Linked DNA regions of Arabidopsis thaliana. The protein of the gene in region 2 interacts with the protein of the main gene of each other region in a pairwise test. Each region holds a gene or a part of one and is shown on either strand. Other genes may lie near its edges.

The links. Proteins that work in one complex are often made in the same cells at the same time.
Region 1: the proteins of AT3G18800 (region 2) and AT3G53810 interact in a protein complementation assay, tested with the Arabidopsis thaliana proteins (one large-scale study listed by BioGRID).

The regions. Positions count from the first base shown.
Region 1 is NC_003074.8:19,931,400-19,937,840, reverse strand, and holds AT3G53810 (Concanavalin A-like lectin protein kinase family protein), read left to right. Parts: upstream 1-2,448; 5' UTR 2,449-2,654; coding exon 2,655-4,688; 3' UTR 4,689-4,871; downstream 4,872-6,441. Other genes in the region: Fes1B, read right to left, coding at 5,122-5,608, 5,718-5,820, 5,901-6,122, 6,201-6,251, 6,345-6,441.
Region 2 is NC_003074.8:6,476,975-6,481,878, forward strand, and holds AT3G18800 (uncharacterized protein), read left to right. Parts: upstream 1-2,612; 5' UTR 2,613-2,771; coding exon 2,772-3,365; 3' UTR 3,366-3,489; downstream 3,490-4,904. Other genes in the region: AT3G18790 (pre-mRNA-splicing factor ISY1-like protein), read left to right, coding at 879-1,781; PERK6 (Protein kinase superfamily protein), read right to left, coding at 3,727-4,017, 4,104-4,265, 4,362-4,506, 4,653-4,729, 4,816-4,886.

The DNA of each region.
Region 1 (6,441 bases), about 13 Mb from region 2:
TTTCATAATAAAATTACATATGTTAGATATCAAAACATATAGTTCTTGATTTGTACTAATGTTGACATAAATTGATATATAAATGTTAACGTGTCGCAATTACATTGAATTTACCATGTTTTCTAACTAATTAACCTGCAATCTCAGTTTATAATGTATGTTCACAATATAAATATCCGAACAACAACAAAAATGAAATTAAAAAGACTTTTCACGATAGCAACATGCCAACATCTAATAATGGCGGGAAGCAACTTACATAACTGGTCAGTTTGTAATGTATATAAATGTTGACGGCACTCGCTTAGTTAACTTGTGAAATGGTTAACGAGGGAAAAGTATTATAATCGTTGCTTAGGGAAAACTATTTAGAACAATTCCGCATTAGTCTTTTGGACTTATCCAACAAATAATTGATATTGACAAATTAACATTATAATCTCCATTAGCTTATTTTAACCCTACGGTTGGCTTCTAAGAACAACTCTAATTTGAACATTTCTTTGAGTGACTTTTCAGTGTCGGCGTTTCACATGGATGTCTTTATCTGCAACCTCAAAGAAAAAGTTTCGATTATAATTGTTAGAAGTTTTTATTATACTCTGAACTTTTTTTGTAACTTTTAGATATAAAAAAAACATATATATGGGGCTTATCTTATACATTACTAACTAAATGCATCTGGGCCTGGGCCTGATTCTGGGCTTAGCCATAACTGGATTATTTTCCTTTTTTTTTTTTTTTCTGAAATCAATGATATATCCATCAACCAAAAGAAAAACATTCAGAAATTTCTTTCAAAATCTCTTAAGCTAGTTTTCTTGTGGTCCAGAAAAAAAATTGGTTTCTTTTTACTGAAATTTAAACCTTGAGAAGTTTTGAATCAACAAAATATGGATTTTGACCAGTTGCCATACTATAGGCTTTTCTTTTCTGTATGCTTTCCGAATTGTTCATAGTATTAGTCTATAATACTTCTTATTGGAAAATATGTCGAGATTTTGAACTAAAAATTGACCGATCAAGATCGTTACCAAAGATATTACTTTTACAGTACTTGTATTTTATTAACTTAGCCAACTTCAATATCTATATAAGAATATGATCTTGTCATTTTATTCTGAGAATCTAATACCAAAAAGAAGTTATATGGCGTTCTTTTATGTTTCTAAACCCTATCATATCAATTTAACACATCCGAATCCAACTATAACCAGTCCTCCTAAATGTTAGAGTGTCGGGATAGAATAAAATTGAAGTGCAAGAAAATTCAAAGAAGATCGATCATGAAGCTGACTGAGACGAAAAATCAAAGGTCAAAAATTGAGAAGCTTCCTAAAGAGACAAGTGGACAAGTTTTGACCAGTTGTCCATTTGACACATGAGGACCCATCACTATCATATCACTCCTTAAAGTCGTTGCTCTCTCCCTCTTATCACTACCTTTCTTTCTCACAAATCCAGGATTCATTCATTCACGTTTTCCTACACCTCAAACAAGTTTTCAACGTCACTATAGACTATAGTGTATTTATGGAACATTTCATTTCCTAAAAATGATACAATCTATTATCAAAAGAGAAAAAATCTAACAATTTTTGGATAAGTCCACTTATTCATAAGTACTGTGACATGAAATCCTATTATTTATCTCAGCATTTAGTTTGTTTCTGCATCACGCCAAAGGAGAAAATGTCAAAAGAATCTTCCGTTTATTGCATCACAAAATTTATAAAAATTCATATGCAGAGGAATATTTTATATGTCGACCACTGAATACTTTCTGATGAAGGAACAATATTAGTTACATAACCACTAATATAACACATAGTAAATCTTAGCCTCTCATTTGTTTGTTGTCGTCAATCTCAGCCTTTCAAGCCACACTATCTAAAATGATTTTTGCTTTTGTACTTCCTGTGAAACGTTTGGATAAGTACACATCTATTCTGATATCTTTTTAGTGTTCACACAATATTAAGTTTTGGAAATGTTGCAAGAATAATACTTCTGTCACCATCCAGAACGTTTTAGTCAATTAGAGAAATGATAGTTCTCTTACAAGTTAAATTTAGTTATATGAAGTTTAACCAAAAAAGTTTTGTTGACCAAAAAAGAAAGCTTTACCATGGTTCAAAAGTTCTGGAAATAAAACCAAACAAAGCCGAAGAGAAACACGTTTCTAGAACTCCAGTCTCAGAATCACAAACTTGAATTTGTGTGTCTTAACCATATGACTCATAAGATTGAATTTACTTCATTTAATTTAACTAAACAAAAATGATCAACAACATCTCACTCATTGACCATTGACCACTAGAAGTCACATGCAGACAAACTGGATTAATGCATCAGTCAAAATCAAAGTGTGGTTTTTTTTTGTATATACACTTCCTCCTTATAAAACCAATTAATCATAGAATGAAATTAACTTCTATTTAATTCAAGCTTATATAATCTTGATTAATACTTCACCAACCACTGACATATTATTCAAATCTCACAAAGCGTGGCCTCAAAGAAACACTACCACGACTTTTTTTTCTTATCCTTCTCTTCACCTCTTTTAATAACTTCAATTTCTATCTTCAATCTTTTCCTCTTTCGTTTAACAAAACAGAGTAAAACTAAACCGGATTAAACCGGAAGCAGCCATGTTCGTCAAGCTCAAGCTCATCTTCTTCTTCTTCCTACTCTGTCAAATTATGATTTCTTCCTCTCAAAATCTCAACTTCACCTACAATGGTTTCCATCCTCCATTAACAGATATCTCACTCCAAGGTCTCGCAACAGTAACACCCAATGGTCTCTTGAAGCTTACCAACACATCGGTACAAAAAACCGGTCACGCCTTCTGTACTGAACGAATCCGGTTCAAAGATTCCCAAAACGGCAACGTATCATCCTTCTCCACAACCTTCGTCTTCGCGATACATTCTCAGATCCCAACACTAAGCGGCCATGGAATCGCCTTCGTTGTAGCTCCAACGCTAGGTCTTCCTTTTGCACTTCCTAGTCAATACATCGGTCTCTTCAACATCTCTAACAATGGTAACGACACGAATCACATCTTTGCCGTCGAATTCGATACAATCCAGAGTAGCGAGTTTGGAGATCCAAACGATAATCACGTCGGAATCGATCTCAACGGTTTACGATCGGCGAATTACTCGACGGCGGGATATAGGGATGATCACGATAAGTTTCAGAATCTGAGTTTGATTAGTCGCAAACGGATCCAAGTTTGGATCGATTACGATAATCGTAGTCATCGAATTGATGTCACCGTGGCTCCGTTTGATTCTGATAAACCTAGAAAACCTCTAGTTTCGTATGTGAGAGATCTTTCTTCGATTCTTCTAGAAGATATGTATGTAGGTTTCTCATCTGCGACTGGTTCAGTTCTCTCGGAGCATTTCTTAGTCGGATGGAGTTTCCGGTTAAACGGAGAAGCTCCGATGCTCTCGTTATCGAAACTCCCGAAGCTTCCTCGATTTGAGCCTAGAAGAATCTCTGAATTCTACAAAATCGGTATGCCTTTGATTTCACTATCTCTGATCTTCTCTATCATCTTCCTCGCTTTCTACATCGTGAGGAGGAAGAAGAAGTACGAGGAAGAGCTTGATGATTGGGAAACAGAGTTTGGGAAGAATCGATTCAGATTCAAGGAGCTCTATCACGCGACCAAAGGTTTTAAGGAGAAGGATCTTCTCGGCTCCGGTGGATTTGGGAGAGTTTACAGAGGCATTTTACCAACGACGAAGCTTGAAGTCGCTGTGAAGAGAGTCTCACATGATTCAAAACAAGGTATGAAAGAGTTTGTGGCGGAGATTGTGAGTATTGGTAGGATGAGTCACCGGAATTTAGTTCCTCTCTTGGGTTACTGTCGCCGGAGAGGAGAGCTTCTTTTGGTTTACGATTACATGCCTAATGGGAGCTTAGATAAGTATCTTTACAACAATCCGGAGACTACCTTAGATTGGAAACAAAGATCTACGATTATCAAAGGAGTTGCTTCAGGATTGTTCTATCTTCATGAGGAATGGGAACAAGTTGTGATTCACCGTGACGTGAAAGCTAGCAATGTTCTGTTAGATGCTGATTTCAATGGTAGACTCGGTGATTTTGGGTTGGCTCGGTTGTATGATCACGGCTCGGATCCTCAGACCACTCACGTTGTTGGAACATTGGGTTACTTAGCACCTGAACATTCCCGGACTGGACGTGCCACTACCACGACTGATGTCTATGCGTTTGGTGCGTTTCTTTTAGAAGTTGTTTCCGGTAGACGACCCATCGAGTTCCATAGTGCAAGCGATGATACGTTCTTGCTTGTGGAATGGGTTTTCAGTTTGTGGCTCAGAGGTAACATAATGGAAGCGAAAGATCCGAAGCTCGGTTCTTCAGGTTATGATCTTGAAGAGGTTGAAATGGTATTGAAACTCGGTCTGTTGTGTTCGCATTCAGACCCTCGGGCTAGACCAAGTATGAGGCAGGTCTTACAATATCTAAGAGGAGACATGGCACTGCCTGAATTAACGCCCTTGGATTTGTCGGCGGGGAGCGTGATGAATCTGGGAGGCCGGGACGGTTTTAGCGGTATTGCAATGACTGATTTTTCCACTGTGTTTAAAGGGTTTACCGGCGGATCTTCCATTGCTGACTCTCTACTCTCCGGTGGGAGGTGATGTTTGATGTTCCAACTCTAGCAATGTTTTATGTTTATAGTTTTTTTAAAAAAGGTTTACTAATACGGATCATGTACATACATTTTTGCCTTTGTATGGAATATATAATTGAGTTTTTTGTGATATCTTATAAGAATTTATAGAGTATGAAGATTATGATTGCGATAGTGGATTCAGTATCAAGAACAGTCTCGCAAGTATTATTCATGACTTAAACATAATAACGGTACACTATGATATTGGCAAAGTGAACGGAGAAGTTGTAGAACTTGAAGTCCATGAGTGTAGATTTGTATTACAGAAACAGAACACAGATAATCTCTTTAATAGCGTCTTGTTGTCGCTCAGATATACATAAACAAGAGCTAGAGAAATTCTAAAGCAAAGCTGATTTGTTGATAACTGCAAAATCTAATAATTTGGTTGAACGAGATCACGGTGCAGGACCAAGAAGAAGTGGAACCGGGGATTCACTCGTTTCATCATGTCGTCTTGCAGCCCAAGCCCTTAGAGGAGGTTCAAAGCGGTCCCTAACCACATCAGGAGCCAGCTCGTCGTCAGAAGGGAGGTAGACCAGACCTCTTTCTCTTAGAAGGGACGGTTCATCATAACACACGGTCCAAAGACTATCCACTAGCTGTCTTTCTTCTCTAGCTGCACAAAGATCTTCGTCCGACATCACAATTATTCGTCTTGTTCTCTCCTCAAGAAGCTGTCTTAGATTCACATCCCCTCTATCAAGGTTTCTCACAGATTCTTCACGGGCAAGCTCTAGGAGACCACGAAGAGCGAATTCCCGAACTTCAAAATCTTGGTTGGATGCTAGGTGGATCATTATGCGAGGGAATCCAAGATCTCTAACGATTTTACAGTCTGAGTTGCTTTCTTGGAGAAGATAGTGAAGCAAGTTCAACGCTTTTCTGAAACAGAAAGAGTATATTGGTTACTACACTGAAAACCTGAACCGAAACAGAACCAAAACCCGGATCAATTCATCTACCTAATACATATTCTTGAGACCCTATTTACCTTTGGAATCTAACGGTATCAGAGACCAAAGCGTCTCGCAGGCCAGCATAACCATTTGCCAGACGGAATGCTGTAATCCCGGGTTGGTTGTTACGGATAAGAGCTGCAATGTCGAAAGCAAGAAAAAAACTGTCAAACTTTTGGGTTCTCAAAGCAAACTTTGCTAGAAATAGTAACTCTTACAAGATATAGCCCCGAGTGCCTTGGTCCGGACTCTAATGTCAGGATCAGCAATAAAGTTAGTTAATAATGGTTCGAACCCATTTGCTTCCATAACAAGTTGCTGGCTTCTTGGATTGTTTTGGACAACCGTAGTCAAAACATCGGCAGACTTTGCTCGAATTTTCGCATTAGAGTTCTTGAGATAGCTAAGGAGAGGAACCAAACCTCCAATGGAGTGAAGATCTAAAACATTTAAAGATCCAAATAATATATTAAAAAAAAGAACCTCGAAAAACAAAGACTAGTTATGTAAGATCAAACCATTGGCCAAATCTATCGACTCGACGTGTTCCTGCAGCTCAGCCAACATTCCTGTCAAAACAAAAGTAGATATAAGTTTATGAAATCGATCAGTATGGTTCTTTTGCATAACCGAATAATCGCCATTGGAACGAAGTAAAGAACCTTCAAGATCATCAGGTGTAACTCCTTGAGCCTCCAAGACTTGTTCAGGCATCTTCATGATTTGAGATATTACTTTCATACGAGAGATTGAATCGAT
Region 2 (4,904 bases):
CTCTCTGGGTTTTTACTTACGTCTGCGTTTCAAAAAAAAAAACCGCTTTCGTTTTGCGTTTTAGTCCCATTGTTTTGTAGCTCTGAGTGATCGAATTGATGCCTCTTTATTCCTTTTGTTCCCTATAATTTCTTTCAAAACTCAGAAGAAAAACCTTGAAACTCTTTGCAATGTTAATATAAGTATTGTATAAGATTTTTATTGATTTGGTTATTAGTCTTACTTTTGCTACCTCCATCTTCACTTGGAACTGATATTCTGAATAGTTAAAGCGTTACATGTCTTCCATTCACAAATGAACTTAAACTAGCACAAAGTCAGATATTTTAAGATCGCACCATTTTATATAACCCCAATCGTCAATTCTACTGTTTCAAGTTTTACACCAAAACAATTACGAGGTGTATCTATTCGTTACTCTTTTCGCTTATTAATCCTTTTACATGATGCAAAATATAACAAATTAATTTCAAATTGTCCTGCACATTTGGTTTATACATCTTGATTCCAAAAAGTCAACTCGTTGAAGAATTAATCAATACTCGAAACGAGTCTTCCTTGGGCCCTAAAATATTGTCCTATCTAGTTGATGCTTATATAGCATATATGGGCTAATAAATTGGGCCTTAGCTTTGGAAAAGGACGTAGAACTTGAAACAATTTTTATTTTTCTTTTTCCGGCGAAACAATTATCTAATTACCAATTTAACCCCAATCCTTTCTCAGTTTCTCTCTTCCGCGTCTCTCCTTCTCGTTATCCTGCAAATTAGGGTTTAAGTAAGAAAAAAAAGCTAGAGAAGTATCTCGATCTCTTCTTCTGTTAGATTCTGCTTTCCTTTGAGATTTGCTAGTGTAATCGTAACCTCCGAAGACCCAAGATGGCTCGTAATGAAGAGAAAGCACAGTCGATGCTCAACAGATTCATCACCCAGAAAGAATCTGAGAAGAAGAAGCCAAAAGAGCGTCGACCTTACCTCGCATCAGAATGTAGAGATCTAGCTGAAGCAGACAAATGGAGACAGCAAATTTTGAGAGAGATCGGTAGCAAAGTAGCTGAGATTCAGAACGAAGGATTAGGAGAGCACAGACTTCGAGATCTAAACGATGAGATTAACAAGCTTCTCAGGGAGAGATATCATTGGGAGCGGCGAATCGTTGAGCTAGGTGGTCACAATTACTCGAAACATTCGGCGAAGATGACGGATCTAGAAGGTAACATAATCGATGTACCTAACCCTAGTGGTCGTGGTCCTGGTTATCGTTACTTCGGAGCTGCTAAGAAACTTCCTGGTGTTAGAGAGCTTTTTGAGAAGCCTCCTGAGCTGAGGAAGCGTAAAACTAGGTATGATATATATAAAAGGATTGATGCTAGCTATTATGGGTATAGAGATGATGAAGATGGTATTTTGGAGAAGTTGGAGAGGAAATCTGAAGGAGGGATGAGGAAAAGATCGGTGGAGGAGTGGCGGAGATTAGATGAGGTTAGGAAGGAAGCTAGGAAAGGTGCTAGTGAGGTTGTGAGTGTTGGAGCTGCAGCTGCTGCGGCGAGGGAAGTGTTGTTTGAGGAGGAGGAGGATGTTGTTGAGGAGGAGAGGATGGAGAGGGAGAAAGAGGAGGAGAAAGAGAGGGAATTTGTGGTTCATGTTCCGTTGCCTGATGAGAAGGAGATTGAGAAGATGGTGTTGGAGAAGAAGAAGATGGATCTGCTTAGTAAGTATGCTAGTGAAGATTTGGTTGAGCAGCAGACTGAGGCTAAATCCATGCTCAATATTCATAGATAGAAAGGTGATCATCTCTTCTTGTAAGGCTTTTTAATCATATCATAGTATAATTTTATTGTCTGTAGTTTCTTTTGCAGTTTTTGATCAGAAAATTGACTGAACTGCTGTGTGTTTTAAGAAATTTCGATTAGAGGAATTCTAAAAATTTGTTGATGTTTCTTATATTATTACATCCTAGATTATGATCTTAGAGAATTTGCTAGATCTTGATTTATATTTCCTTAGTAGTCCTGGTCTGTTTGAGAGTATGATAAGGCTTCTGTCGAGTAATGTCATAAAGCGCGATCAATCTATAACAACAACGTACATTCTTGCTTCATTAATCAAGAGTTTCACTGACCTGAGTAATTGACCTAGTACCCTTGTATGTGGAGCTTAGATTTGCAGAAACTGTTATTTCAATGGGACATACTTTAGTTAGTGCCTTAGTGGCATGCATTAGGATGCGAAGGAATTCGTATTATATCTTCTCTTGAATTGAATCTGAGAGGCTGATACATCATCTCTATGCTTCTCAGATGCTCTGTTTTACCAACAAACTCAGCCGCGATGGTCTCTTGCCTAAAGAAGAAACGATGTTGGGCGTTTGAAATATGATTTCATGGAAACAAATGTGAAAGACTCAAGGAGAAGATACAATGTCACTTGGAACTGAACTAGTGTATTCTATTATGTAGCTCGACTTTTGTATCTTTATACTTCTGAATGTAATGCTCATTGCCTGAGGTTTATACATTGTTCCTTTGGCTCTAACTAGATTGGTGCTATGCAGAGACATAAGTTGAGACCAACCACAAGCATTTTTCTGGTTTTGATTTTACTCCCAGTAAAATATTTATTGAGTACGGACAAAACATCAAAAATCAGAACAAGACCGTTGAGATGGATAATACTTGTCTAGAGATACGAACCACACCCACATGTTCCTACACACAATCCCCAAACCATCTCTCTAACCAATAACACTTTTTCTCTCTTCTCAGTCCTTCAATGGCGGACTACGACGACGAAATTGACCAGAATAACCAACCTTTCATCCCCAAAGAAACTGCTCTACAAGCACTAAACTCAATAATCCAGCTCCACTTCGAGAAAACCTTAGAGAAGAAACGAGCCATTGACCACCAGAAGAAGAAGCTCCACAAGCTATTTCAGCTCTTCTTCATCTTCCTCGCCGTAATCTTCTTCTCCCTCTCTCAACCCTCAGGTCGTCTTCACTGCCGCCATTGCTGGGCACCCATCTGCCTCCTATCCTTCTCTCACCTCTTCTTCTACGTCTCCGTCGCTCAAACTCTCCGTTGCATCAACGGCTTCAAGTACCAGCGTCGCTGCCATAAGCTCACTCTCGGTCTCGCCACTCACAAGCTCCGTTTCATCAAGTCAAGAATCGCTGCCGGAGATTTCCTCGGTGGAGGCGACGGTGATGAGGCCTCTGCTGCTGCTTGGGATCTGGAAGTTCCGTATCAAGAACCACCTGATAGCTACTTTGGCAAGTTTAAGAGAAATTGGGCTCTCTATTTTGGGTTCTTGATCCTTCTTTACACTTTCATGATCTCTTTCTCTGTCGTTATCCTCTGTTTCTGAGATCTCTAGAGTGGCATTTTCGTAAATTTTGCAAAACCCATCTGTTTCTTATTATTCATTAGTCCTCAGCTTTAGAATGATCAAGAAGATTGAAATAAAACAAAGTTAGAATCTTTGACATTTGATTCAATCTGGTTACTGAAGCCCTAGTCAATTACTTGATTGAGAGATGGGATTAAGACAGACAATTAGCATTAATAAATCAATTAATCACAATCAAAAGTTTTGAATTTTTTTTCACAGACACAAACACAAATCCAACGGTGACAAAAAGAATAAAAGAGTTGAAAAAAAAAATTCATAGGGGAAACAAAACACAAAAACACAGCAAGGAAGATTGTTTTGAAACTAACAAGCTAAATCAATGGTCTCGGCTAGGAGTGGTTTTGTTGTTGTTAGCTCCTCCTCTACGAATCTCCTCGCTGCTCGAGGAAGACGGGTCAAGCCCGTATTCGCTCGTGTTCCCGTACTCGCTGCTTGCACCGTACTCATGACTATCCAATGCCACTTTCCTGAACTTCTTCATATCCGCACTGTAAGTGCTTGAGTCATAGTCCGAGCTTGAACCCCTCCCGAGGAATGAGCTTTGTCCCGCTTTCCCTCCTTCGCTTAGATCGTCTAGCGTTGCATCTCCCTCCAGAGCCCGAACAATCTGTTTTAACATTGGACCATAGTGATCATTCTCTTGGTGTAAAGTATATGTTTAAAAGAGTGGTCATGTTCAAAAGTAAAACTTGCCTGGCTCATCTTAGGCCTGCGTCTAGCTGAGTGCCTGACGGCTGCAGCGGCACAAGCAACCATTTGTGCCATCTCATGAGGCTCGTATTGGTTTTCGAGACGTGGATCAACTAGTTCACTGTAATCTCCATCCTGAGCTGCGTTTAAGCATATGGGTCTTGCCTGTGTAAAAAAAGTAACCAAGTTTGCATTAGATCACAAGATTCTAACAGAGGAACCATTAATGTGATGAATATATTTAACCATATGATTACGGACCCAATCGACCAAACTGTCTTCCATTTCACCAGTGAGATCAACAGGTCTGCGTCCGGTAACTAGCTCAAGAAGCATCACTCCAAAGGAGAAAACATCTGATCGGTCTGTCAGTTTCCCGCTTGACGCATACTCTGGAGCCAAGTACCTGTCGTTTGATTCACAATTTGAGATTCTTTAGAGAAACAGATTTTCGGATGAGATTATAAAACAAGAATGTTTTTGATATAGAAGTAAGAGCTAATGAAATTTGCAGGAACATTTTTCATCAGCTGGTTTCGCAGTCTTTAGTACCCGAAAGTTCCCATGATACGAGTGGAGACATGCGTAACATTGTCTTGAGATAGCTTCGCTAACCCGAAGTCTGCAACCTGTAGATTTGAGCCAGTCCAGTTAGAGAAAAAATAATACCAACGAATCTGAAAACATTATGAGTTTAAAAATTATAAGAACGTACCTTAGCCTCAAAGGATTCATCAAGAAGAATGTTTGAAGCTTTAATGTCTCTATGAATGATTCTCGGATGACCTAAGTCAACAAAGTCAA